Alligator mississippiensis: one gene and its partner. The protein of the gene in region 1 purifies or fractionates together with the protein of each later gene. This does not show direct contact. Links are inferred from orthologs where the notes say so. Each region holds a gene or a part of one and is shown on either strand. Other genes may lie near its edges.

Region 1 (15,026 bases):
ATAAGGTCTGGCCCTCATTCTGGTACTCTTAAGTACTAGGAGAGGATTAAGGAGTTATCCTTAAGACAGTCCCTGTGGTTAGATGTGTCACTACTGCTACAGTGAATAACAAGAGGAATTACACACAAACGCTGCTGGCCAAGTTCTTGCTGCCAGAGCAACATCCTGATGCTGAGAGGATGAGATGCATTCTGGATTTAAAGCATCTTCTATTCCTCAGGTCATTTTATAATAAGCTAAGGGAAAGAGGTGGAGCAGGCAGCAGCTGGGAGCTGTAACGGTCCAACTCAGCTGGTGCATGAAGCACATACTACCATCTTTCCGACAGAATATTTCTGGTGCCTCCAGGTCCACTTTTGCAAACAATCAGATCACACTGTCTAAATGAACTGCAGTTCATGAAAGAAAATCATTGACACAGGTGAAGATGGGTTATTTTATGAACCTACAGTTATATAAAACTGTGTTATCAAAGGTAAGGTATTATAGAACAACAGAAGGAAAATAAATAGGCCTGCATACTAAAAAAATGTTATGCTATTTACTCAGGAATGGAAAAAGAGATCTCAAATAAGCAAAAAAGGTATAATTGGCAGAAGTTCAAAAGCACTAAGTAATGTGTGTTTGTATCTCATTCACCCCTTATGAAGACCCAATGTTGATCTCTTACCTGCTCTACATAAATGTGGCTTCATTGACTTTAATACAATTACTCCTTATTTCATCAGTATGCTAGAGGGAAGAGTCAGGCCCACCAAGTTTAAAGAGAAATATGTATCATTCAAAACACTCAATAACAAGTGACATGTTATAATACTATATGAATTCTGAAGTGAATTACTTCTATAATTGATCTAAATTCAGATATTCTACATGGACACTTAACCTTTGTGGATAGCTTCAGCTATGGATGTTGAGATCTGCACACACAGAAGGCAGTATGTTGTAGAAGCCATTAGAAAGTCAACACCTGCCAAACAGCAAACCGATACTGATCAAGGACCGAAGTAATAGTGATAACTGTGGTAATCTTGCATACCACAGGATGGTAAATGTTGGAAACCCCCTACATTTTTTTTTTCAGAAGCGACCACTGCCCTCTTTGTTATGACAATTACAGACTGTGGTCATGTTGGTGGGAATTAATCTTGCTAGTACCATTCTTATGGAAATGGACATATGATCTAACCATTTTGGTAAATGAAAAAAAAAGTTGGCCTCATTATCAAAGAACATAATCAAAATGGTCTGATAGAGAATGCCATTATGCTCTTTTCAAACAATGAGCCATTTTCACTAAAACTATCATCAGACAGGCAATGAAGCAAAGATTAAAAAATAACGTAAGTGGCAAGTAGCTTTGTAAAACTTACAACGTTTAAGTATAACAAGGCAATAAGCACTATAGTTGTTCAACAGTCAAACAGATACATTTGTGTCAGGTTGGGGTTTTTTTGATAAACTATAGCAACTTCATGGCAAAGTTTAAAAAAAAATATACTAGACTATATAGTGACAGATTTTCAACACATTTTTCATCACACACACATATGTGCTTTCAGTTATTAATAAAATTCTTCTGCCCTTATCTGCTGTTGTCTGAATATACAATTTAAGTGGCTTGGGGAGGCATATCCTCTTAAGGAAATATATTTTCACTATTTAAACTTAAATATGCCCAGTAAAACTAAATGCCGTTTCTTTAATGCTGGCTTCTGCCTGCCACAAAAATGAATATGGAATCATCTTTCTTTAAAGTTACTCTTTGTGTGGCATGATAATAAAACTTTTTCCCCCCCCTTCCCCAAACACGGGAGTCAGCTGCCCTGGATAACACCACAGGTAGATATTAAAATGGAGACAGAGCCATTATTTAGTGGCGACAGGAATATAAATACATGTACTAACCTATAAACTGGTATTTACTTCAGGAAAGTAAGTAATATTTTTCCTGTGATTGCCGTGCTGTCAGTTTAATGCAGCGTAAATAAACAGTAGGTGCATGATAGCTTTAAGTAGGAAGTGTTCATTCCACAAGAGAAGCAGATTACTGATGCCTGATGCCCATAATGGCAAAAACAGAACTTCCATTCTACCTGAAAAATATGTCCTCCCATACTAAATGATTTGCACTTTTCTATTAAAATTAGTTTGCCAAAATTCTATGAAAAATACTAGATAATCAAACCACCTTACCAAAAACATTCATTTTAGCATCCCTAAACTTTAAATGTTTCAAGTAAAACACACCCGCTTGTCTGTAATTTCTTCATCCCATTGCTCTTAATGAAGGCATCATACAATCGTCATAATATAATAAAAAATAAAATGATATATAGAATTGCCTATGCTTTGAGTTATTTTGTTCTTATAATCTAGTTCCCAACTGAAAATAAAATATCCCCTTTGGAAAAAAAATGATTTCTAAGGAGATTGTACATACACTCGTCATCTATTAACGTAAATTATAAGGAAGTAAAATGCTCTAGTTATGTTTAAAACTGTTCTAGATGGAAAGTTGTGGTTCCAGTGGATATTTATTAAATATAGAGAGAGCAATGCCAGGTATGCACAAGAGGGTGATAAAATGCTGCAGTAGTATCTGTGCTAGCAGTATCTAGCATCGTCCCTAGAAACAGGATGAAAAAAAAATTTGGGGGGGAGGGGAAAATCACTTTTTTGTGATTTTTTATTCAAAAGTATACCTTCAATTATAGTTTTTTCTTTAGTGCAGATTCAGAAGATGATCTTTATATTTTTATATTAGTTTTATTAAAACACAGTAACCTCTTTGACTAATTCTCCAAATATAACTAAAGTGCCTAAGGAGGACTGTGAGTTAAATCTTATTGTTTTCAGTTAAGAAACTGGGTCAACAGGATATTTTTAAGAAACAACTAGTTCATATAGTTAAATTTTTTTTTTTTTTTTGAAGAATACTGGATATTAATTCAAGATGGAATGAACCGAAGTCATATGATTTCAAACCCTTTTCCAACTGAAACAGTAACGTAACAGAAGTTAGTGGTTATTCAAGGTTTAACTGCACAGAAGACGGACACTTCTCTGGTTTGAAGAGGTGCACCTGCCTACATCCCACTTGGGAGTTTACATTAGAGAATCACTATGGTGCTTTGAAGAGAGCACACTGTCTTTAGTTTAATACTATCTGTAACCAAAAGATCTCTATAATAATAAGGACAGGTGTTTGTCAGCTGACCTCCAGGGCCTACACTGCAAACCATGATCTGTCAGACCAAAATGATTTCTACATCACATTCAAATACATGCTTTGGCTGATTTGGCAGATTCTCCGTTTTCCCTATTCTTGCAAAGCACTATGTGCTGTCATGGAATCACAGGCTTACTTCACCTGTTTCATACGTCTGTCTCAGAAAAAAGCAGTATTTAAGGACTTGTTTTAGAAGCTAAAATGACAAGAGAAGAGCTGGGGAAACTCTTTTAGATAGTTACTTTGCTATTTAAAAATCAATAACAAAGAATATAGAAAGGAACTGTTACTTCTTAAAAGTGTATGGACAACATGCATTCCATTTAAATATTTTTGCCTCAGTAAACTCATTTTGCATACAAAGAACTATTATTTATTACATATTTGAACTTGTGGGAAAAAGAGAAGGAATGCATTGATTCCCAAAATAACTATACAGGCTTTCTGGAGACTTTATGCTTCTGTGTTCTTCTTTAACTTAGACTACTCTTATTACAGGGCAAAGAGGAATTCCTTGGAGTCAGTGATTTCTCTTTCATTAGCTAATGTATTCAGGAGTGGGTACAAGCGTAGACAATGATTTTATTTTTGTTACATCACCTTATTTTATATCCATATGCATGCTGTTTGTTATATGTTATAAACCTGCATGCAGGCGTTATCTTGTTGCTTGCTTTTTACTTATATAGTCATAGCCAATAGATAATGAGACGTTGCCTCCACTTGGTAAGCAAACTAATAAGAATAAGAACTACAGAGATATGTTAACATTAAAAAAATACAACTGTGTATAGCAATTTAGGACTGTCATACAAATAACCTCATCCACACGAACACAGTGGAGTAATAGTAACAGTATGATACAAATGATAGGCGCTATACTATATTCCTGCCTTCGCACTGAACGCAGCCTGTTTCAAGTTGTGTTTTGAAATAAGGCGTCTGAGTTAACACCTTTATCTCTGGTGACTGTGTGAAACCCTTAAGGAGATCCTGAAACATGCAACCCATTCCCTTCAACTCTGGTTTCAATTTTTACGCTTCTTGTAACCTTTCCCTACAACGCGAGAAAGAAAACAGAGTAAATACATTAAATTTGTTTCACAACAGATGCTTAGGTTGTTTAATATTTCAGATGCCTATTCCTGCTAGTCCTGTCTGCACATTTGTCAAAAAAAATTTTTTTTAAATGTAAGCTTGCACGCGAATGTTTGCCAGCAGCCTGGAGCAGACAAGTCGATGAACCTGCCTAGACCCAAAGAACAGAAAGTGGAAAGAACCGCTGCTAAAAAAAAAGTCACCCCCCCTTGTCATATGGAGCAGCCTAAAGCAGGGCTGCTCCTCTCCCACCTACCTGCACCTTGAGAGTCCTGGGATCTCAAACTGTGGTGGATCCCTTTCCCAGCAGATGGACTGAATGCAGCTGACTGCTCATTCTTGCCCCCACCCCCTCGTCACTCCTTGCCACTGACGAGCTGGGGGCCAACGCGTCAAGCCAAGTTTGCGGCGGTCCAAGGCTCTCCCCCAGCACTCGCAGGGGCCAAGCTGGGACAACTTGGGAGGCACCGGGCAGGACCTCCCCCCCGGCCACTGAGCAAAGGCTTCGCTCCCAAAGCGGCCGGTGGGAACAAAGCATCGCCAGCTCCTTTTGTAATATATATTTTAGGAGGGGCAAAGAAAAAACACAAAAAAAATCCCCCGCGGCGCAGGGCAGCCGGAGGACGAGGGATGCTAGAAGGAGGCTTTGCCACGGGGCCGCCGGCGGCAAATTGACGGCTGCCCCGGGACCACCCCGCTGCCCGGCCCGAGCCCTCCCCGACAACTTTGCCAAACTTTGGAGGCAAGTCGCGCTTCCCCCCGGCCCGGCGCCTCCGGCCCGGCAGGTGCGGGATACCCCCGGCCCCGGCCCCGGCAAGGGCCACTCACTCATGGGAGCGCAGCGCAGCGCGGGCCAGGCTGGGCGACACCGTCGGCTTCCCGGGCGCCGGCGAACTTAATTGCACTGAAGTTCAAGTTGGCTTCGCACCCATCCGCAGTGGGCGTTTAAAGGAAGGCGAGCGGGGGGGGTGTGGGGGAGGGAGGAGGAGGAAGGGGGGGAGCCGCACGCGCCCGCCCGCCCCCGCTGCTACACCGCCCGCCGCGCAGGAGGAGCCGGCGGCGGCCCGGCTGGATGCGGCCCCGGGGCGGGGGGCCGGGAGCCCCGGGCGCGGGGGGCTCAGCGCCTCGCCTCGCCTCGCCTCTCCCCCTGGCGGAGGTTGCCTGCGCTGGAGCCGGAGCCGGAGCCGCCGCCGCCGCCGCCGCCGCTCTCCTCCCTCGGCGCGCGGCCGCAGCCAGAGCCGGGCTCGGCCGGAGCAGCAGCAGCAGGACGGTTGGTGCCCTCCCGCCCGCCCGTCTGTCTGTCTGTCTGTCTGTCCCCTCCCGCCGGCTTCCTGCCCGGCGTGTTTTGGGGGCTGACTTGGGGAGAGCGGCGGGTGTGCGCGGCTCTGCCTCTCCCCCCCTCCCTCCCCGTGAAGTAGGAAGTCAGGTGAGAGACACACACAATCCCCTCCCAGCCCCGGCGAGGTGGGTAGGAGCTAATCACTGTTGTTGTTGGGCTGGTGGCGGTGGGGTTTCATGCTATTATTCCCCCTTCCCTTCCCTTCCCTTCCCTTCCCGCCCTGCTCGCTCCCAGCAGCGCCCCAGCCCCGCCGCTTCTCTCTGCTCCCCCCCTTCCGCGGCACTTTCTCCCTCCCTCCGGCGCACTTTCTTTCAATATTTATCCACCACATGCTCGGCTGTCAGCTGCTTCCCCCCTCCCAACCCCGGGCGGGAGGAGCGAGCGGAACAGGCTCCGAAAGGGCCATGACAAAGGTTATCGATACTGGGAGGATCCGGGCCGGGGCCGGGAAACTTGTGCGGGAAGCAGCCGCCCGGGGAAGGCTCGCAGACCCGCGTGGATGAACCCGACAGCTGGTAGCCCCCTGCTTCCTTTGGGGGCGGGGGCATGGGTCTCGGATTGTGTTTCTGTTTGCTTGCTCGTGGGTTTTGTTGTTTTGGGGGTTTGTTTGGTTTTTTTCCTCTCCTTGCAAAGATTTCACTTGTTAGGCTCTTGCCACGAGCTGTACCCCTGCAACTCTAAGCCCGCTGAAGCAATTTTTCAGTATTTTTTAGAAGCCACTTTTCATTCTCCCCATCTCTTAAGTGGTGTTTGAGCTTGCACAGAGTGCCCTGAAATAACTTTTGGTGCCTGAATGCTCTCATCCATGCAACTGCTGCCTGGAGAGAGACTTTTCTTCCCCCACCACCTTCCTTCCTTTCTTAGCTGATGCACCGTTTGTAAGTCAAGTTCCCGGAAAGTGAAGCTGGCAGTGAATACTGGCTTTCCTGAAAGCTGAAACATGTCTCTTTTACTCTAGAAGCTTGTGAAAAGAGCATGCTGGGGGACTCTGACCCTCAAATCTACTCGCTTCCTTTATTTTTACTTGGTTAACAATTTGATCTTTCAGCTCAGAAACGAACAGAACTATGCCATCTCTGAAATAGGCAGACAAGGGTCTTTGGGTAGATGCGCAATCTTTTATTAGACCAACTAAAGAGAAATTGCTCTTGGCATGCTTTTGGGCACAAACGCCCTTCTTCGGGCATAGGGAAAGTCTCCAAAATGACAGAGACCATCGTGTTTACACAGAGGTATCTTTCCTTAACAAGTCCCTACTACACTGACCTGTTACCCGTCTTGCTTATTGCTAGGAGAAGCTGTAAGCTTGTAACACCATTAGTAAATAATCATTAATCGGGAGAGAACACGGAGCCCAAAGATTACACAATAGTAGTAATAATTAATAAAATTGACCTTGCCAGCATCTCGTAGTGACTATTGGAGATTCCCATTCATATAGGACATAAACAAGGGCTGAAGTTATCCCCTTATCTTCACCTTAAATGCAAGATCTGTTCCCCCCCCCTGTTTTTTACCTTGGAAATTTGGCTTTTGAAATCTTTTGTTACATTACAGGATAATATAAAGAGAGCCAAAGCAGAGAGCATTTTTGCACTTCTACAGACTCATTCAGATGCTTCTTGGAGATGATTGTCCGATAAGCGCTCCATGTGTGGCACATTTTCTCTTTATTAAACATCTCCTTCACTTATGTTAACCACTGTCAGAGGATCCAAATGATGATAGCGTTTCATGTCTTCAGAATACTGGTAATCAAATAATGAATCCATGTAACTTCCCGTTGACCTATCCACCAAATGCACGTGAAAAAGTGGAACAGAAAGCGTAAACTATTTGTCTGCGGCCATAGATTGAGTCAGATGCAGAGATTAGAATTGAGGAGTTGACTGATTCCCAGTTTAGATTTGATTTCCTCCTGAGCATTATCTTAAGAGAGAGTTGTGATATACACATTTTCTTGTTATTTTAGTAACAGAGGTGTGTGTGTGTGTGTGTGTGTGTGAAAACGAGGATCTTTAGAGCTTGTGTCCTTGTACACGATATTGATAACTATGTAAAGTTAAACTGGGTGGCTTTTGCAACAGACCCCCAACTCTGCAGTCAGACAGTTTGCTTTTGAAACAAGAAATCACTTACCAACATTTACATCTCTGCTGTAATGGTAAAGACTTGCTCCAAGATGTTTTCACTTTCATGAGCAGGTATGTCCAAGTATATCTTGGCTACATATAGCTGTGAAAGCACTTGCAGATGAACATGTCAGAAGATCATTGTTACCTTACTTTTTGTGTAAGATTTTAAGTACTTTTCATTCTAGGTGTCTTCAACATACAGAAAGGATTAATGCAATGATTTTCCACAGGCGTGCTGTGAAATCCTTTCAAGGGTGCTGTGGGGAACCCTGCAGCTTTAGCTTTGTTAGGCGCAAACATAATTCACAAGATAAACCTCAGGATTGCAAATAGGAATCCAATGGGAGCTGTTCTGCTCCAAGTTCTTTGTAGCAGAAGAATTGCTGTATTATTTTTCTAGTCACAAAACGGAGCGAAAACTAAGAGCTGACATTTTTCTGAGGGGTACTTTGAGTCTAAAAAGCTTGAGAACCACTGAGATGGTGATTCTCTTGCTTGACAAAAAAAAAATGAGGTGGGAAAAGCAGTATCTGATGCTTACTAGGATTTGTTCTGAAAGATTATCTTTCATATCATCATTTCAAACTGAACTTTTTGTTAATTATTGCAGTGGTTCCCAAAATGTGGTCTGCAGATGACTGGTGGTTTGTAGGCCAAGATAAGTAACTGGTACAAGGATTGAACTGCTGTTCAGCTTTAATTAAAAGGTTGAAAAGGATGCCTGTTGGTTTGCAAGAAATGTTGAAATTTTTAACATTTGAAACTCTTTGGATCAGCAGAACAGGTTATGTGAACCCTTGAATTATCCTAAACAATTTCTATTATCATGACAGACATATGGACCAATAAAATGTAATGGTTAGATTGTCAGCTTGAGTATAACTTTAGTACAAATAGGTTTGCAAAATCATCCTGTGGTCTGTAAGAGGTATGTACTAATTTGACCTGTATAGCAGGTTAGAGATCCTTCAGAAGCAACCTAATCATCTGATGCTGAAGATATTATGATATTTATAATATGGTAAATAATGAAAAACAGAAGACTAACACTATATAATATATTTGAATATTATTCTTTGCAATATTAGGCAGCAACCTTTACAGAGTCTTGTCATTCACATCAATGGAGCAAGAGGTACGTTGCATTCTCTTTATCTGTGGCATGTCATCGAGGCTGTGCCATTACACTGCTATATTATGATATGACAGAGCACAGATGGCATGCCTAAAAAGCAGGTGTACGATATAACTTTCATTTCACTGACATGTTGCTTTTATACATGCTGCAAAAGGAAATTTTAGTGTCCATTTTCCAATGTTCTCCTGCCAAGTGTCCTGCAAAAACTACCAGAATATTCTACTTGTCTTGCTCATCCCTGAAGTCTGGAATTTCAAGACAGCACAAATCAGATGTTCATATATATTTATCAGTTTATTCATGTTGACAGCCACATTTTATCTTTTGAAATTTGAAACTGCTGATTTGAGGGAAAGGGGGTGCAGTTCTGGTTTAAATAATACTAATGGTATTGGAGCAAGATTATCTGTCACAGATGAAAATGGCTTATGAATCATAGTAATCCATTCATTAGTTTATGGATTCAGAGTTCTCTGGGGACTGTCAGAAGTCCACAATACCCCTGAGTGTTATGGGATTTTTTTTCATGAAAGATGTGTATAAATATGTGTATTCAAAAAGTTTCCTATTGATCACCTATCTGACGGAGACTAAGTAGAAATTATTGAAGTCAGAAGGAACTTAACGTAAAATATTTTTCTTTAATTCTATTTTTCAGAAGGGGTAATTCATAATAGCATGCGTTTGCCAAAGTACTTTAGGTCAATCTGTACCCCGTCTTAGTACTCTCTTATGACAAATCTGAGGACATACAGATATAGGCATGCCATTTTAGATGTGATAAACCAGTAGATCCTCAGTTAAGTGTGTACAGGCTGCTGTCAGGTATTTAGATGCACGTATAAATAAAGCCGGTGAGAAAATGAGAGTCGAATCTGGGCATGCGCATTCATGCAGTCCTCTCCCTGCACCTCCACTTCTTCCCCAGCCTCTGAGGTGTGAAATGAGACAGTCAAATGAGCCAGAAGAGGTACCATATTTTCTCACATACAACATGCACCTCCTCCCAAACTCAGCCCCTTAAAATTGGGGCTCATGTTTTAAGCAGCTGAGCTGTTTCCTTTGCTGGAAAAGGAGCCTGCGTGGAGAGACACTGCATGCCATGCAGCTGCCAAGATGGCTGCAGTTTGTGTGTTTGGCAAACTGAACGGGTGGAGTCTTGTGTTAACCCTCTCACAGCTGTAGCTAGTGCCTGAAGCAGCAAATGAGCTGCTGGTAGTATTTTAATGAGGCTCGTGATGTGGAAAGAACACTTTATTTATAGGAACTTATTAAAAAACCCAACAAACTACTTACCATAAAGAAGTAATAGCCTTGCTACTGCCTTTTGCAAGGGCCTGGGACCTAACTTTGTGTGACCTAAAGTAAGTCCTTCTGGAAATGTATGCTGCTGGCAGATGTTTAAAAAAAAAAAAAATCCCAAAGCAGAAAAAAAACATGTTACTGGAAGCAGTGTGTTACTACAACCTGGCTCCACAACGTCTGTGTAGATTGGGTGCTTCAGCAGGGCTTTTTGGCCCCGCTGAAGCACCCAATCTATACAGATGTTGGACGTACAGTCTCTTCTGGGCATGAGCTGGAAAGTGCCAAGTTTTAAAATAAAGCGCTGTTTTATTTTGTTTTTTTTAATGTCTGGAAGCAGCCACAGTGTCTAGGAAGCGTGGCATGGCAGGAGACAAGCTGCTACACCAGAAAGTTCCTGGTGCTACTCTTCCTGGACACACTCTTCCCTGGAGGACTTGCTCTATCTATGGCATACAGTTGGCCATGATCCTGGAAAAAAAAAAAAAAATTTCTGCATTCTGCCTTCTAAAAATAAGGTGCATGTCTTATTTAGGGGCAGTTGTTCACAAGATAACACAGTACTTCAGTAGGTATGTGAAGTTGGTATAATACTGAACTCTGGATGATACAGAAGGCCACATTTTTGCCTAGACTTAGATTAAATATCTGTAAGTGTAACTTGGATTCATGTTCTGCCCGACAGTAGCGCAAAACAAGTCTCTCTAAATGACAAAACCTCTTAATAAAGTTAATATGTTGAATTACTTAAATTGTTCCCAAGCAATTTGTTCCTAGTATGAATCTTGCTCTTTCCTGGCTCTGAGCATATGACTAAAGCAACAGCAATGAGATGTATTTCACAATAATTAATCGTTTTTATGATTTGTTGCTTTCACTACGGTTGATCTAAACTTAGCAAGCCAGAAACCAAAAATAACATCATATGTCAGGCCTTTTCCCTTTACACCCAAAAGCAACTTTATAATCAATTCACAGCCTTTATAATCAATTCACATTGTAACGCTGCTAAAGCAGTCAAAATACTGTTCAGTACCAAGACTTGCTCATAGCTGTGTTAGTAGCTTCATGACATGAGAAGACTGTAACCTTCCAGTTGCCATCAGGATTGAACACACACACACACACACACACACACACACACACTGCTTCATAAGTATGGTTTCACATAAAATGGTTATCTATTTTAGTTTAAGTTTATTTGACAGTTTTATCCTTATCTACTCAATGTTTGAGCCTCCAGATTCTTTCTTTACACTAGTACATCTGTAGAAGGAAATTTTAAATGACTCCTTTTGAAGGAGATTACTGCTCTCACTGTGGTCCTTCGACTACCCTACATCATTCTGTGCTGATTGTTCTAGATCTAATGCCATCTTTAGAAGTAAGATGGTGGAGGTTAGTCTCAGTCATTGCATGACGAATAGGTCCAGGGAGGTAATACTTCCCCTGTATAGGGTGCTGGTCAGACTGCAGTTGGAGTACTGCGTGCAATTCTGGGCGCCACACTTCAAGAAGGATGCGGATAACCTGGAGAGGGTCCAGAGAAGGGCAACTCGTATGGTCAAGGGCCTGCAGACCAAGCCCTACGAGGAGAGACTAGAGAAACTGGACCTTTTCAGCCTCCGCAAGAGAAGGTTGAGAGGCGACCTTGTGGCTGCCTTTAAGTTCATCACGGGGGCACAGAAGGGAATTGGTGAGGTTTTATTCACCAAGGCGCCCCCGGGGGTTACAAGAAACAATGGCCACAAGCTAGCAGAGAGCAGATTTAGACTGGACATTAGGAAGAACTTCTTCACAGTTCGAGTGGCCAAGGTCTGGAACAGGCTCCCAAGGGAGGTAGTGCTCTCCCCTACCCTGGGGGTCTTCAAGAGGAGGTTAGATGAGTATCTAGCTGGGGTCATCTAGACCCAGCACTCTTTCCTGCTTATGCAGGGGGTCGGACTCGATGATCTATTGAAGTCCCTTCCGACCCTAACATCTATGAATCTATGATATGTCTTCCTGAAAGTTCATTCACTGAGATCCCTAACGCACCTTCAGTAATAGGTTCAGTTGTCATTCCTTCAAACAGACTTTCTCTCCTAATTGTTCCTTTCTGGAAAGGCCATGTTTTTCTCCCTGATCCTCCAAATCATCTCAGTCCCTTCAACAGTCTTCCTAAACCAGGGTAGTCAATCTGTGGCACAGGTGCCGCAAGCAGAATGGGCAGCCTTTGTGTGTAGTGCAATAGATTAGGGAGGGGACAGGCAGCACAGCAGCAGATAGGGTAGGAAGTTGAAAGCAAAGTAGCAAATTGAGCAGGGAGCACAGGGATGGAAGGTGAAAGCAAAGCAGACGATCAGACAGGAGAAGGATCAGAATGGCGCTTGAGGAGAATGTAAGACTAATTTTGCAGGACAAAAAGGTTGGTCCCCACTGTTCTAAACAATACTTGCCTTCTAGTCAACATCACTACAGAAGATACTTTTGGTTACCTTTGGAAGTCAGTCCTACCCTGCAGACAGCCTTTCATTTGCTGTGTAGAAAGGAGGGCAGATCAACCTACTGCAATTGCAACAAGTACCAACATTTTTTTTCTATTTTTCCTGATTTTTTTTTTTCTTTCCTTCAGCCTGCTTTCAGTTTGCATATTCAAAAAGTTGCATTTCTGTTTGTATAATCTCTCTTCTTACTGTCAACTGTTCTTTCTTTCCTCTTCTGCATGTCTGCTCTGTCTTGGTTGCATTAAGATGTCCTGTTGCTTTCAGTGACAATACAAATCAAATCAATACAGAAACCAAGCAAACACCACACCTTTACAGATGTAAGATATGTGCAGTAAATGCCAGCTTTACATTTATGTACATTCAGTAATCATCTATTTTGGCTTATACAATGCTTGCACAAAAAGGTTTGTGTTTTGCAAGTGATACCTATCTCATATGTATTTTGATTCTGATTAAGTAACTAGATGACATTGGGTGTGTCACTAGAATTTCAAAAATATGTTTGGGAGAGGAGAAGAAATACTAGAATATCAGCTTCTCTAGCATACTTACAAAGTCCTGAGAGCAAGAATGGCTTTTGTTGCCATACTTGTCAATAATACAGATACCTATATCATTTCTGGGAGCTGTCTAGACACATGATAGGGGTGCAAACCTCTACATTAGTATTTCATAGAGCGTTAAAGCAGTAAGTGAAGAAGAGCAAGGGACTGCATATATATTTTTTCCTTACAGCATCCATTCTGCCACTGAAATAGAGGGTACTGGGTGAGAGGGACCTATGGTCTGACCCAGTATGGTACTTATTATGTTCTTATGACATCAGCATACATTACCTGCTCCAGATTAGAGGGTTTATATAGAAGACCTGGTCAACAAAACTTAATCAGCAAGACCTGTACTTTTTCTACTAGACAATGGGAAGAAATTAGTCACAATATAAAAATAAGCATTTTACTTCTGCAATTATGTTTTCACCTTGGTGACACTGTGAAGTGAAAATAGAGGATTTAACACAATTCCTCCTGTAATAGATGGGACATTTTTAATGTGGGGCCTTAGTTCAATAGTATGCATCCTAACCATTCACCAGAGTGTGAGTTTATTGATCATCAGCTCTGCTTCAGGAGTTAATTATAGTGTGGTATACAGTATCTTGAGTACTTCAGTAATGAGATTGATCAACAGGTTGTGTGTATATATTTTAAATAACATTCATTATAAAACAACCTATGATGCATTTGTAAATGAATAAAAACAGGGACATATTGTGATGAACACACATGCTTCCAGCAATGCTTACTTCTCAGTGAATAAGAGGGATCCAAAGGAGCTGGTTGTGTAAAGTGGGACTTGAGTCTAGAATTGTGTTACTGGAAAACCCCACTCAACTGTTGCCCTACTTTAGGGGGTATCTAAACCGCACAAGTGGCACAGTTTGTGACCTTGAAATTCCCTAGACAACTTCAGTTCTTCTACATGTGCAGCAACACCTAATTTTCAACAGTGCAGAGCAGGTCAGCACCTAGATCACACCTCAGCCCATGCAGAGCCATGCAAACAGGTGTTCCTCTGCTTAAGTCCTTTGGGGGCGGGGGGAAGAGGGGTCTTGTTCCAGTGGCCATTCTCAGAGCACACCTATAAAATACTGTTATGACTAGACTTTCACAAAATGCAGTAGTGGCTACTACTTAATTTAAGATGTGATAGTGCCTGCTCTCCAGGTTTGTTTTGTTTTATCCAATGACTACTAAATGCAAAACGCATAAATCCCCCGGGACCAAACAGTGGCACCCAGGACAGGTGCCCTGTTAGGTTAGTGCCATAACCACTAGGCTACAGAGTCGGCCCCCCACACACCTTTTTTTTTTTTTTTTTTTTTTTATTTCTTAGCCAATTCATCTTTTTTTTCTGTAGCAGTTTGATCAGGAAACAGCTTTGCCAAAATAGCCTATAGTCTGGTAGTTTAAAGCACTCTCTTAGGAAGTAGGAGCTGTGAATTTGGTTTCTTAGGAAGAAAGGAAAACTGAACCTGGATCTCTCACCTGGATGAGTGCTCTATCTACTAAACTCTTAGGTAAAGTGGTAAGAGGTGGCATCTCCTCCCTATGCTGTGTTTTAAAAGAAAAAACAATCAAGCTCTGCTTTATTCTTTGAATGAAAGGTCACAGGTACTGGTCCCCAGGAAAGTGTTAAGGCTGTGGTTCCTGGGTAGATTAAAGTATCTCCCAGCAGCCCAAAGATACCTAAGCTCTGTAAGAGGGTTGTGCTTTGGACTTCATTGTTCCCTATT
Region 2 (14,950 bases), on another chromosome or scaffold:
ACTAGCCAGTGAGGGCATTTTCACTGCCGAGAAGGGCTCTGAACAAGCACTGACTCACTGCTTGGAAAACACCAAGTGATGTTCCATTGCACTCCTATGTTCACTGGCTGAGGGAGATGACCTGCCAGGCCCATCACCAGGGAGCTGGGAGGAGAAGGACACTTATAGGGGAGGTGAAACAGGATTGCTCTGGAAGTGGCAATAACTGGGTGGAGGCTGTTGGAGTGGGCAGGGTAGCATGATGTCGCCACAATACAACTAATAATTCCAATTAAGGCCTCCCTACTACACCAGACCAAATCCTTGCCACACTAACAACTGTTACAAAAGCCAATTCTCTTCCTCTGGTGTCCAGGACAACAGCAGGAACAAAATTCACACTCTTGCGGGAGACTCTCCATTAAGCACGAGCAATACAATTAGCTCTGTGCCAACCACACACAACATGCACCTCCTTCCCCTGTCAGACTAGAAGCAGCAGCAGAGTCGACAGGAGGCGAAAACAAGAGATGGAAAGGCACAGGCAACTCCTTTAACAGCCGTCTCTTCTTGCACCTCACCTACATTACCCATGTCCTCCTCCTCTAGGACTTGGTATTGGTGCCCCACAATGGGTGAGAAGGGATATATGGTGGGACCTGAAGGAAAGACGGTCATGGGACAGGAGAAAGTGTAGAAGGGACAGAAGAAAGACTGAAAGTGTTGCCATGGCTTCTGGATCAGACAGGATTGCTAAGACCTGCCGGGGGGGTTGTCATTCAGCTTCTAGCTATCAAGAGTCCTACTGCCCCCATCTTCCTTGCACCTTTAACATCCTTCCATTTAAACAACACCTGGAAATCAAATGCAAGACTTCTGTTAAATACAGAACAAGTGTTGCAGCCATATGCCAACGCCACATGCTTTAGACACCCTTTGAGAGCTGGCACGTGTCATTCTTGATCGCTCCCAACCAATGTAGAAGAAAGCCTCTCGTTGCTCCTTAAAATAGCATTATCTTCACTGCAAAACACATGCATCTAAGCATGTGTGTGCGCCACATCAGAAGCACCATCCTCTTTCTGCACTTCCTGCCATTCTAAAGTTAGCTCTGTGCATCGAGTTGTCAGGGTGATGCTCCATTAAGTGAATGGCAGAGAGGAAGTTAACTCCATGTTTCCTGCAATCAGAGGGCTGAAGCTTAGAGAAGGATGCTCTGCCTTGCTGGAGAGGTGGAAGCAGCCTGGGTTTCTGCCATATAGCAACCTCAGCTCCATGTGAACAGTTTTTTGAGGGTTTGCATAACCACTGAACATATCGAAAGCAGCACAGAAAGAGCACTTCAAGGAAAAAGCCAGCCGCCAACCAGACCACATCAACAGCGTTGTGTGTGCCAGCAGCCGAAGAAGCAAGGAAATCAGAACTTTGGAGAGATCTTATCTGGGGAGGCTGCAGAACCCTTTGGGAGGGAGAGGAAGGGTGGCCGACATGAACGTGTACAATGCTCCAGACTGTTTAAGGACATCTCAGCTGCTGGCTGCCACTTCTATGTCCATGAGCCGGCCCTGCCACCGCCCCCATCCTCCAGTGCATGGTGCTGTCTCTGACTAACCCTCTGGAGCTCTGAGCAGAGGCGAAAGCCACACCTTGGCAATATCAGGCCTCCTATCCCATGCTCTAAGGCCATTCACAGTGAGTAACTACATTAACATCCAAGGGCCAACATCATCCAGTAGACAGCAACTCCAAGCAGCCTGCCTACACATGCTAGGTCCCGTGGGAAGTGTATAGTCTGCCTACAACTGACAGCTTCTTGGACTCTCCTTTTTTTAATGTTCTTTCCACTGCTGTTGGGTAACGAGCAATTAAGGCTCATGTAAACTAAACTGTGTTCTGAAGCGTGCTATGTGGTTACTTATAAATTAGACTTGCGTAGGGAAAACACATGAGAACATGTACCATTAAAGTGGTGGTTATGCTAAGCTGAATGGGATCCTCATAGTTACTTGGCATTCAGAACAGGCGCTAAGATCTAGGCTTGCATGAAACAGCTGCTGTTGTTTTGCAAAGCCCTTTGATACCTCAATGGTAATGCATAGAGTTTTACTAATAGGTTGGACATTGGATTGGTATGGCATGGATTGGATAGAGGTGATCTTAGCTTCTGGCGGGGGGCTGGACTAGATGGGCTCTGGAAGTCCCTTCCAGCCCTACTTCTCCATGATCCTATTTGACTTGCAAAAGTTATAATAAGGGAGAAAATCTCACTGAAGCTGTACAGAAATGGATAGTTTCCAAAATAAGGAACTGTCAAGCTGCTTCTGGATGCTGTTTAATCAGTAAACGTGGTCAGAAAATAACTGGATATAACATAAAGGGTCCTGATTGGAACAAAAGGGAAACATATGTAAAATACTATGTGCTGATGCATGAAAGAGAGGGGGATACTTGAGCAATGCAGGGCCCACTAAGGAGCAACCCCCATGAGAAGACTGAAAGCCACTGGCTTGAAAAAACCTACCTATACCTCAGCACTGGGTAACAGGGCAGAGCCTAGTTATGATCCATCTGCCAACTCCTGGCTCTTTGAACTAAAAGCTGCTCATATATTGTCCTCGAGTTCAGTAACAGAAAGCTGCTTCCATTATGTAAGATAGTGAATTGTGTCTGGACTTTATCAACTGCCTACCAGTGCAAATCATGCTGGAAGCACTCAGCCATGGATAATCAAGGCAGAAAGACTTCTCCATAACAGGACAGTGGCTGAAGAACCCACTGAAATAGGAGTTAGACTTGAATTGTAGGCTCCTTGGGGCAGGGGCTACACTTACTCTGCAGCTGCATGGAGCTTAGGACAATGGGGAGCTGGTCCATGAGAATGCTTGCTACATGTTGCTGCAGTACAATGAATAATTCCAATTAACGCCTCCCTGCTATACTAAACCAAATCCCTGCCACCCTAACAACTGTTGCAAAAGCCAATTCTCTTCCTCTGGTGTCCAGGACAAAATTCACACTCTTGCAGGAGACTCTCCATTAAGCATTAGCAATAAAAGATCTTTGCTAGACACTTTTGATTCTAGCCAACAGAGGGCACCTGCCCGCCCACCGGTTCAATTCTGCCCTTCTCCAACATCAGACAGGGCAGCATGTAGAGACTAACTTGGTCACAAGCTAACTACCTCTCTCTGACATCAGGGACTCTCCTCACCGCTGCCAAGAAGCCAGACTGAGACTGAGAGCTCAGGCCCAGCTTGAGTGAAAATTTGGAAGATGACTCAGCCGCATCTGGGAATGGGAGTGACGGAAAAAGCCCCGGCTGACAGAACACAAAAGCGTAACAGAGCAAGGAACGGAATCCAGTAGCAGAGCCAAAGGAAATAAAGGACCTGAGAAAGAGCCGTGCAGGGACAAAATTCCTCCCAGCCAAGGCACGGGAGTGATGCCAGGGATGGATCTGGCTTGGGATCTCCAGAAGAAACAGGGATCTCCCCAGTTTGCCTCCTCCCCAAGCCCCTGCTCCACATCTCTTGCACATGTAAGTGTCTGGCAGCTCCTGAGGAATCGAGGGCAGTAGCCCGGTGAAATGGTTGTTATTCTTAATTTAAAACTTCTCTGCCCCTGAATTTTGGAACGCGGCCTTTTCCCCTCACTGGGTGTGGAGCCAAAAGACTGTGCAGGACAGAGCCCTGTTTTCAAGTTAACAAGCGCAGCCTGTTCTGGGATTTAGACACACTTTTTTCCCCTGAAGGCAAAGTCCTCCCTTGGCTGTTGAAAGAGTCTCACCTACATGCTGAACTGCCTACAGTGTAACACTGCGGGTTACCAGGGCTGGGTACTTTAATTCCATGAAGCACAAGGGGCCAGACTTTGATCCTAAACTGAAGGAATCAACCAGCCCACCCAGTCTTTTTTTAAACTCAGTGGATATTCCAGCCCTTCGGCTTCCTGCAGACTGTTCTTCAAGGCTGCTCCAGCAGCGTCACTGATATTCTGATTATGCCACCTCCCAGCTCCTCTGCCGTCTCCTTCCTGACCCGCTGTCTGATCCCAGATGCTGTTTCAGTGCTGGAATCACCTAAAGGCTGTTCTATGAATATCCCTCCATCCCCACCCACAGCATCCTTTCCCCTCAAATCCAGAACTGAGCTCCAGTGCTGGGATGTCAGGACACACTGCTTTGCAAATGCATTTCAGCCTCTCCCCACAGCTGCAGCTCACCTACACACGACCTTGCCCATGCTCCTCAGTGCCAACACACAGCCCCTCTGCCCTTCCACCCTGGGGTTATTCCCCGCCTACATCTCTGAGACGCCACTCAGCCCTGGCCCCCCACACAACAAGGTTGTTCTGAACACGCGGCTCTGCCACTGCCCCGCAATCCTCCGGCAGCCCCTCTGCCATTCCAGCTTGGGACTGTTCTCCACCCGCAGCTCAACCCAGTCCTCTGATCTCAGCTTGCAAGTCCTGCCCTGCCCTGGGCTCCCCAAGCCAGCTCTGCTGATCCCCAGGCTCCCAGCTCCCCTCAGCCCAGGGCTCCCCATGCCAACTCTACAGACACCCGAGATCTTGGCTCTCAGCACCCTGCTTCCCCCAGCCCAGAGCTTCCCACATCAGCTCTGCAGATTCCCTGGCTCCCAGCCCCTGCTCCCCACGCCGGCTCTGCCCATACCCCTAGATCCTGGATCTCCACAAGCAGCTTGACCTGTCCTTCTGGATCCCAGCTCCCTACCTCCCCTACTCAGGAGGGCTCCCCCTCCAGATCCCCTCAATCCCAGCTCCCAGCCCCTCCATCCCAGGCCAGCTCTGCTGATATCCCCAGATCCCAGCTCTCCAGGTGCAGCTCAACCTGTCCCTCCAGATCCCTGGATCCCAGTTCCCAGTCCCCTGGCTCCCCACAGCTCTGGTGATCCCCCAAGCCCAGGGATCCCCACCCTAGCTCTGCCAACGACCCTGGATCTCCATGCTCAGCCTGACCTGTCCCTCTGAATCCAGGCTCCCAGCCCCTGCTTCCCCACACCAGCTCTGCAAAACCCCCAGATCCCGGCTCTCCAGGAATAGCTCAAACTGTCCCTCCAAATCCCTGGTTCCCAGCCCCAATCCTCCATCCCAGGGCTCCCTGTGCCAGCTCTGCCAGGATCCCCAAACCCTGGCTCTCCAGGTGCAGCTCAACCCGTCCCTCCAGACCCCTGGCTCCCAGCTCCTGCGTCCCAGGGCTCGCCGGACCCCAGCTCGTCCACCCGGGCCCCCCGCTACCTCCTGGAGGTCGCGCTCCTGCTCGAGGGGCACGACGTCGTGGGCGCGGTGGTCCTGGGCGCGGCAGAGCGGGCAGACGCAGGCGGGGCAGGCGCGGCAGTAGGCGTCGAGGGGCCGCAGGTGGCGGCGGCAGAGCCGCTCCTCGAGGCGGCGCAGCGGCGGCGCGAGGCGGTGCGCGCGGAAGGCGGCGCTGGCGCGGTGCGGCTGCAGGTGCTCGGCGCAGAAGGAGGCCAGGCACACCAGGCACGACCGCGCCGCCGCCGCCGCCTGCCCCGCCGGGCACACGTCGCACAGCACCGGGCCCTCGGCGTCCGCCTGCGCCCCGGCCCCGGCCCCGGGCTCGGGCTCGGGCTCCGCCTCGGGCTCGGGCCCCGGCGCCATGGGGCGGCGCAGCTGCAGCAGCTCGCTCAGCGCGTGGTTCTTGCGGAGCCGCAGCCCGGCCGGGAAGGGCTCCTGGCAGAGCGGGCAGCGCGGGGCGCCCGGCGCCGGCCCGTCGCGGTGCGCGCCCAGGCAGCGCAGGCAGAAGTTGTGTCCGCACGGCAGCGTCACCGGGTCCCGCAGCGCCTCCAGGCAGATGGGGCAGGCGAACGGGCCGTCGGCCGGGCTAGGGGGGCCGCCGCCCTCCATGCCGCCTCCTGCCGCCCGCCCGCCCGCCCGCGCCGGGATCGGGGGCCGGGCTGAGCAAGGGCGGCGCCTCCCCTCCCCTCCCCTCCCCTCCCTTCTGGAAAGAGCAGGCACCTCCGCGCGGGACTCACCTCCTCCCGGCCGGGGCGGGGTGTCCACACAGCCCTCTAGCCGGGGCAGGGTGTCCGCACACATCCCTCTAGCCTGGGGGGTGGGGTGTGTCCAGTCCACACACATCCTTGCACCCTGGTGGGAGGTGGGAATGTGTCCGCACACATCCCTCTAGCCTGGGGAGGAGGGTGTAGACATGGCTGAGCTAAGCAGCCTCTTGGGGAGTTATATCAGGAGAGATTCCTGCTCCCCCCGACAAGCAGGCTGAAGGCAGGGTCGATCTGCACATTATAAAAACAACCAGATGCTCTGTTGGCAGGCTGAAGGCAGGGCTGCTTCCCGGGGGAGGCAGGAGACCCTCCTGATTGCGAGAGCGCGCTCCAAGAGTTTGCTGAGCCCAGCCACGCTCAGCCGGGTGCCAGAAGATGCTTTTAAGGGTGTCGCACAATATTAGCGCTGTTTCTGCAGTGCCATTCACAAGGTAAACCCTGACGGGGCTCCAGAGCATCTAGAAATGTTGGGCGCTGGCAGGGGCTTCCTGAGGACTTTGTAACAGAAACATTGCTCCAGTGTGGCTCCCTAGTCCTGAAAGCAAGTGGGAGCTCAGAGCGGGTATGACCCAAAGGGAGCCCTGAGTCTAAAGAGGTTGAAGGCCACCGATTGAAAACAAATGCCCCTGATTCTCTACCACCAATAGTTGCAAGGGTGAAACAAGATGAAGAATTTGAAAATCAACCAATGCAACCAGTCCCCTTCAAGTTTCATTATCCCAAAGATCTGGGACTAGCAGCCACCACCTTCAGTGAATGTGGCTGTTCTTACTTTCAGCAGACAGGAAAACATGGATGACATCTCTTAGATCAATACTGTCCACAGTCAGGACTTCAACTCCCATATACAGATGTCACTTGCTTTATGATGTAGATGTGTTCATGGAAAACGGCGCATAACTCAAATTCGCATAAAGGGACCCCACTGTACAATGTGACAAATAGGGATACGTCCCAAGACCTCGAACATACTGACCCCCAGACCCATTTCTACCACTTTTACAAGACAGTTTTGGTACTCACCAACAGCAGACTGCACGTAAGCACAGGATGGCTGGGGTGAAGGGGACTCAGCCCCTCCAAACACGGGGCTGCAGGCTCCAGGTGGCTGCAGAAGGGGTGGGGAAGGGCGTGCATGCAGCTGGGATTGCAGCCTGGCAGAGGCGGTTGCTGCTGTGTACTGTGCTTTGTGCCCAGCTGCCCCAGGAACAGCACCACTGGGCTGCGCCCCCCTGCCTGCCTGGTGGTAGGACACACATGGCATCACGCCACTCCCAAGGCAGCTGCAGCTCCAGAAGCACAGGCACCAGCTGCCCTGAGTGGTGGCCAGGGGCGCTGCTGTTGGGCAGCTTCGTGGCTCTCAGCTGACTGCGGACTTCCACTACACCAACCACATAAGAATGAATTTGCCTTGCATATAATGAATTTTTGGTATGAAAAGGGTCATTGCATAACAGTGAATTCGCACATACAGAACCTGCATAAAGCGAGGGAAACCTGTAAAAGCAAAACCTGCCAGCTGTTTGAGAATGAGCCACTACACAACACAAATATGTCTTCACATGCTTGAAAAACTTTGTTCTTCCCTGGAATCGGATACGGGCAATGCTAACATACTCCTGAATGTAAAGAAAGCAAAAAAGAAAGGACAAAAGCTTACTTTTTTCCCAGAAACTCAGATGGGTTTTGAGCAAGTTCAACATTTTAGCTGCCAAGAACATTTATGGTGGCATTAGGGTGATGGTATAGCTGTGAGGGTCCAAGAACTCTGGAAGAGGCAAGGATTTCTTAGGGTGATGGCTTTTATTAGACCAGGTGGGCTGGAATTAGACAAGCTTTTGAATGCAAAACATGCTTCATCTTATGGCAGAGGATGGCATTTCTAATGCTTTGCATCTTTGATACTAATATAGCACACCCAAAATGTACAAAGTCATTTTGTGTTGTAAAGCATTTCATGTCACTGTGTCTCTTGTTCAGCTGTAAAGCATGATCATGTTTTCTGTGTGATTGTTGTATATTGTGTCTCCTCTAGGACTGGAGAGGACCACCTCCCAACCCCACCCCACCACCCCAGAGCATTGCTTTAATATTTCTCAACCGAACCTATAAAACCAGTTTAGTGACTGGCCAAATCCTGGAGTGGTGACCCCCCTTGAATTGATTGGTCTTCATTAGCAGTGTGCGAAAGAGGCTGCTTCTTGATTGGGGCCCTGTGATGAGGTCAGAAAAACGATTTAAGGTTCAGGCCACCTCGGCTGGAGGGCTCTCTCTCTTTTAGCTCAGTGGAGCTATATCAGTTCACTACCCTGACCAAAGTCATGCAATTAAAATGGCATTGAGTAGTGGAGGGTTGCAGCCTTGTCTGCTTGCGGACAGGGCTCCCTACGAGAGCCTCAGAGTTAGCTTCCCACTGGCCAGCTTCTAGTGGGAGGATCTCAGCTACACGCTGACTTTATGGAAATGGGAGACTCCTTAGCTTGCTTCTGCGGGAATACGGCCAAGGGCAAGCCAAACTCGGGAGCATCCGAACCCCAAACTTCTGGGCTTGGTCCTGCAAATAGGATGCCTGCCAAAGGATTTAGAAGCATCTGAAGCCCCAGATGGGGGTGGAGGATGTTTGCTGATAGTAGGGCCACATTCGGTTCTTGAATGACTCATGGATTTGGAATTGATTTGGCTGATTTGACTTGGAACACGAAAAATTTTCCTTTAAAAAAAAAAAAATCTCACCGAAGAGCCCTTCCCATCACAGAGGGAACTAGTGACCCCAGCGGACAGTGACGGCGAGGGAGATGATGCACCCAAATTCCCAGGGACTAACCTCTTTTGCGTTGAGACTCCCCTACTCTCGGACTGCTGAGCCTGGGGTCGAAGGCTCCCCAATAGGGGTAGGGGTGATACAGGGTCTAGTTTGAACCAGGACAGTGTTTTTGTTTTACTTGACTGCATGTTGTGTTCTGGTGTTTGTAATAAATCATGGGGTTTGTGTTCATACTGCTTGTGAGAGAAAGGCTGTTGGTTTTATTGGACACCCTAGTGATTCATTTAGTGTTTCCCAGGTACATTGAGCAGGGGCTCGAGCCAAAGTAAAATATGTTCAGTACCCCCAAAACTGAACCTGGTCCTTGTTGCTGCTGACAGGTGCTTAGCAGAAGGGTTATGCTTCATATGAAAACTTGGACAAATTACGAGGTTCCTCATTTTTTCCCCCAAAAGACTGCATAGCGGCATCCGAAATGTAGTGGAAAACGCTGACTTGGTTCTTTCCTGGAGTAGTTAAGGGCTGCATCGGCTCTTAAGCAAACCTCTTCTTGCTTTGTGGTTAAGTTGTTTTTCTCGTGGGAAATTGACTCCCATGTTCAGGTCATTGGTCACTTCCCTCTGACCAGCCCAGGACACTTGTAAATCCATTATCAGAATGCTTGTTTACATGAAAATCCCTTCAAAGCTTTTAGAGGCCTAGTTTATTCAATACACACTTTACTTGAGATGTTGACTTCATAAAGTAACTCATGCACAACCACAGTATGCAAGAATCAACAGCTGCAGATTTTGAGAATTGAGGCATTTAGCATCGACCCCTTTGGATTTTGGTTCCTGTAGGTTCCCTTAGGGTTGACTTGAGACTGAAACAAAAATGTCACCGACTGTCAAAGCTTTGTGCTGTAATACACAGGTTGCATCAAGTTGGCTTTTCCATTTTGTTTCACTGAAGGGCTTTGCCCATAGATTAGTCACAGCTTGGCACATCACATCCCGTCTCTTTGAAACAGCTGCAAAGAAGTATCAGTGCTTTGCAACATGTTGAAAAACATCACAGCACCAATGCAAGAATTCGAGGTATCACTGAACACAGGATTTGAACGACATGTGTTGCATGGGACACAAAACACTCTCTTGTTAAGGTCCCCAAATCTCTTCTGAACTCCCCCATGTTTGCCTTTCATATGCAACCCGTTGTATAGTCTGGACCAGTAAAATCACTGAGATTTTAATTTCTTTTAACTATTTGAGGAGATACATGCCAGCACATACATCCTTGAAACATGGAAGATGCAAAATTTTAGCCGATTTTGGATTATAAACTTCATTGCTGAACAACAAGAACGATTTCTACACCTCCCTGCCTGCCATTTGACACCACCAGGGAAGAAATCCTGCTTGATCTAAATAACAAAGAGCAAGCTCACAAAGAGACTCTCGTGGACCCAGAGGGACAGTTGTCCAACTTCTGCTTCCTCTGCGCAGAAATGAAGTTTATTTCCTACATGTGCGGACTTTTGACTATCTTGAGCTTTCCCTGAGCCTGATGAAGGATGCATGAGCCTGAAAGCTTGCAGAAAAAGATATATTTTTTGCAATTTCTCAGTTGGTCTAAGACAAGGTATCATTTTGGAACCAAGAGTTCTAGATTTTTACATTTCTTTTTGTCTCACACCAACACGGGTACCACATACATCCCTGAAGCACTAGGAGAACCATTCATGTAAAAAAATCAGTGAAATATTCCTTGATAAAACACTGCCTTCTTTTGCCTCAGTCCTGTCACCTGCAGAAACAATAGTTGTCATCTGCTCTTGTTTATTGCTGCCTGGGGCAAAGTCAAGTATAACAGAATAGCACTTGGCAGCGTCTGAGGCAGAAATAATTCCCTTCTTGGTCACATGCCCAAGAATTAAAAAAAAAATAATGTTTTGGATATTTTGCTCAGGTACCGCTCATGATTTCCCTTTGAGGTACTTCACTGGAGGGGTTCCTGTAACACAAGGTCACCTTTTCCAAGGAACTCCATGTATTTAAAACGCTTCCCATTGTGGGATGAATAGGGCACAGGAAAATTATTTCTGTTCCCTGCAGCCTGATCAAATTAAAAAGCCTTTCCAAACCAGCTTGCCTGTGCTCTGTCAGATAACTAATTTAGTGCTGACTGTCTTTATTCATTGCCTGATCTTGGCTTAGTCTAATTCCTAAGTCTTTCCTCACAGGGCAGCTGCTATTCTGATCTGCTAGGACACTCAGATCACCATTCTCGGCTCATGCAAACTCTCCAGCGAGAAACAAGTTGCAGCAGAAGCAACAAGCAGAATCAGCTGATGTGGAATAGGGAAGCTAATCTGGTTTTACACGTTCCCCATTTGAAAGTGGGCATGAACAAACAGAAAGCTGAACATTTCTCCCAACACTTCTTCCCTCACTGTCCAAAGGAACAGCATTGCAGTTTGTGGGCGCTGGCTTAGCCCTCAAACAGAAGGCAGGGTAGATTTGCTCCTTAGGGCCCTGCCGCATGTTCAAATTAAAGCTGGCTAGAAACCAGCTCTAGAGCTGTTACACAGCACTCCATCCTGAGGGGGCGGAGGGGGCAATCTGCTGCCCCGACCCCTTGGCCTGGGAAGTCTGCTGCTTCCTGGGAGCCCATATCCGAGACATTGCGGAGAAGATCCCCAAAACTCCTCCAGCTCACTGACCACTAGCCTATGCTCCTCATCCATGTGGGCACCAATGACACAGTTAGGAGTGCTCCCAGCCGGGTCATGAGGTGCTACAGGGATTTGGGAGCAGGGCTTAAGGGGTTGGGGGCGTAGGTGGTGTTTTCTTCGATCCTCCTGTCTCGGGCTACGCCAGTTGTGGTCAGACCCCGAGGGTGGTGGTTGACAGAAGTCAATCATCATGTTGCCTGTGACCAGTGGGGTCCCTCAAGGCTCTGTCCTTGGACCTATTTTGTTCAACCTCTTTATTAATGATGTGGACATTGGAGTCAGAAGCGGACTGGCCAAGTTCGCTGATGATACCAAACTCTGGGGTAAAGCATCCACACCTGAGGACAGAAGGGTGATCCAGGCTGACCTTGACAGGCTCATGAAATGGGCGGATGAGAACCTGATGGTGTTCAACACTGAAAAATGCAAGTCCACCTTGGGAGGAAAACCTGCAGCATGTCTACAGGCTCAGCAGTGCTACGTTGACTAGCACTAGGGACTTGGGGGTCAGGATTGACCACAAGATGAACATGAGCCTTCAATGTGATGCTGCAGCTAGTAAAACGAGCAAAATGCTGGCTTGCATCCATAGATGCTTCTCAAGCAAATCCCAGGACGTCATTTGCCCATTGTACTCAGCCTTGGTGAGGCCACATCTGGAGTACTGCGTCCAGTTTTGGGCTCCACAATTCAAAAAGGAAGTAGAGAAGCTTGAGAGAGTGCAAAGGAGAGCCACGCACATGATCAGAGGTCAGGAAAACAGACCTTATGATGAGAGGCTGAGAGCCCTGGGACTCTTCAGCCTGGAAGACCGCAACCTCAGGGGTGATCTGGTGGCCACCTATAAGTTTATCAGGGGTGCTCACCAGGATCTGGGGGAATGTTTGTTCACCAGAGTGCCCCAAGGAATGACAAGGTTGAATGGTTATAAACTCCTGCAAGACTGTTTCAGGCTGGACATAAGGAAGAACTTCTTTACTATCTGAGACCCCAAGGTCTGGAATGGCCTGCTGCCAGAGGTGGTTCAAGCACCTACATTGAACGCCTTCAAGAGAAATTTGGGTGTTTTTCTTGCTGGGATCCTATGACCCCAGCTGGCTTCCCGCCCCTGGGCCAGTGGCCTGGACACGATGATCTTCCAAGGTCCTTTCCAGCCCGAATGTCTATGAATTTATGAAATCTATGAAATTTTCAAGCACTAACTTCATAGCTGGTTGGCTCTTGTTATGGATGTGATTAGTTGGCACATGTGGCTGGTCTAAATGTATTAATTAATTAATCAGTTAATTGTGTGATAATTACTTTGCACTTGTGGCCTAAGTTTATTGCATGATTAACTAGCTAATTGCATAACGTATGTGACATGTAGCAGGGGCCTTACAGATTAACTAAAGTGCATGTGTGTCTGTAACCAAGACGAACTCATTGATTGCTCTTGTGTGTGTGTTTGTGTATAACAAAAGGTGAACTAATTGATTACCAGCAATTTGGAAGGATCTGTCAGAGCACCAATGTTCAGTTTCCTCCTTTGTAGATTCAGGTGGCTAGAATTCAAAGCCATGGCTACAGCTACAGACACAAGTGGCACAACTTCACTGGTGACAACATTTTTTACCGTTCTCTTCCTTTGGTCTCATCAGAACACCTAGAAGGAAGGTTACTTATCAGGAGAGAGGTTGTGAAAGTTAGGTGCAGAAGCAGGAACAATGACATGTTGGTTGGAAGAACGTGCATGACTGGAAGGGTCCAAGACATCCAGTTGGAAGCAAACTGCTGATTTCTGAAACCTTAACTTTCTTTCACATCAGTGGCTTGGCTGATATTGAGCTCCAGAAAGCCATTTCCGTGCTTCTAAAAGATTGTCGCTATCACTTCCAATTTGAGCCATGACCACAGCCAGTCCGGAAGACCAAGGGGCCACGGCGCGTGTACACGAATACAAGTTAATCTAAGACCTTCTAATCAATCCTGTACACACTGACTCACCCACACAGAAAGCGCTGCCTCTTGTTTGCTGCCATCTGGCTGTTGCCAATTTGCCCATTTTAACTGAAACCAAGTAAGGCCTGTGAATAATAAATGCTTCATGCTGCCAGTTTTGCTTTTTAACCACCCCCAGCCGCCTGCTGCATCTTCCCTTAACGCCAGCCAGGATCTTTCTGTCCTGCCAAAGAGGCAACCAGAGCAAGAACAGTAAAATGATCCCAGGCTGTCCCCCAAGGAGCCGGGCCCAGCTCCCCCCATTAGCGTGTTCTAGCTTGGGTGATGGTGGAAAGCAAACTCCCACCCAGCTAATGAAATGCTCCCTGGCTCGTGGAGTTTTGCAGCTGGTGGTTTTATGAGTTATTACGAGATTCCAACCCGCCCCCCCTTTTACCAGATATCTCAGTCTCTTTAACTCGTACGTTCCCAACCCAGCCACAAAGCAAACTCATCTCCCTCCGGAGTTCTTCCTCTCAAAAATTTGGGACACGATTGTGTCAGGGAGGGGTGGGACCGGACTGTGAGGAGGCAGCTGGTCAGGGCAGGGTCTGAGAAGCTCGGGTGAGCTGGTCCATGTTTTGTGGATACAATGATCTCTTCCCCCACTCCCACCCAAAGCTGCCAACCCAGCCCCTTCTGTTGATCCTAAACCAAAAGGCAAACTGTCAGGAGATAAAAAAACAGAAGTTTAATGCAGAAGGGGGCTGCTGATAAACAGGTAGAGTTTACATCCCATAGATGCCCTCTACTGTGCTCTGGATGCTCGGAGTCCTTGGACGAGAGGAAAACACACTAGGTTAGAAAGAGGCCAGGCTGGAATTCCTCCTCTGAGCCGTTCCTGAGTGTCAGCAAGCTGGACAACGTGGAATCCACCTTGATTTAGTGTTCGGGTCTGTAACGCAGCCTCCTCATCCCAACTTGGCACCACAGCCGTGAAAAGCTTATCCCAAGGGCATCTCTTCTATGCACGGCATCTCCTTACAGCCACAGATCCCGAGATCTAAGCCAGGTGGTGGCTGTCCGGGGCTCTGGGAGGCAGAGGAAATGGGCACCAAGCTCTGCCTTTTCCCTTCCTCTCCCCATTCCAGTAGAGCCTCTCAAGTAACTGCCCTTTTATTTGTGTTGATTTCACCACATGGGTGTCACAACCCAAGGGTGTGATTTTTGTTTTTGTGTGCTTTGGCACCGCTGAATTATTTTCCCGCTGTTTGAAGCTTTCTTTGCAGGGTGCATTTCTTCTTTGCAGCATAGAAATGCATGTTGCAAGGAGTTCCCGCCATTTGTATTTAAATTCGACCCCCCAGTATTGGTTGTTTCTAAATTAGTCCCACGTGGCAGCTAGCGATCGGCTTGCTAGCCATATAAGAGGCTTGAGTGGTTTCCGCCCAAGTTGGAGGACTCCACAAACATCAGGAGGAGGAGACTTCACGTCTCGTGAAGATCTCTAAGCGCTGCAAAGCCTATTGG

Evidence for each region.
Region 2: the proteins of SATB1 (region 1) and TRIM47 purify together in Homo sapiens (affinity purification with mass spectrometry; 4 studies listed by BioGRID and IntAct, with this or other methods). This does not show direct contact. The link is inferred for Alligator mississippiensis from reciprocal best matches to the Homo sapiens genes SATB1 and TRIM47.

The regions. Positions count from the first base shown.
Region 1 is NC_081828.1:151,596,611-151,611,636, reverse strand, and holds the start of SATB1 (DNA-binding protein SATB1), read right to left. Parts: upstream 5,589-15,026; 5' UTR 5,163-5,588; coding exon of another isoform or gene 5,159-5,162; intron 4,945-5,158; exon of another isoform or gene 4,587-4,944; intron 1-4,586. UniProt on the Homo sapiens protein: Crucial silencing factor contributing to the initiation of X inactivation mediated by Xist RNA that occurs during embryogenesis and in lymphoma.
Region 2 is NC_081831.1:13,218,669-13,233,618, forward strand, and holds the start of TRIM47 (E3 ubiquitin-protein ligase TRIM47), read right to left. Parts: upstream 5,900-14,950; 5' UTR 5,863-5,899; coding exon 5,236-5,862; intron 1-5,235. UniProt on the Homo sapiens protein: E3 ubiquitin-protein ligase that mediates the ubiquitination and proteasomal degradation of CYLD.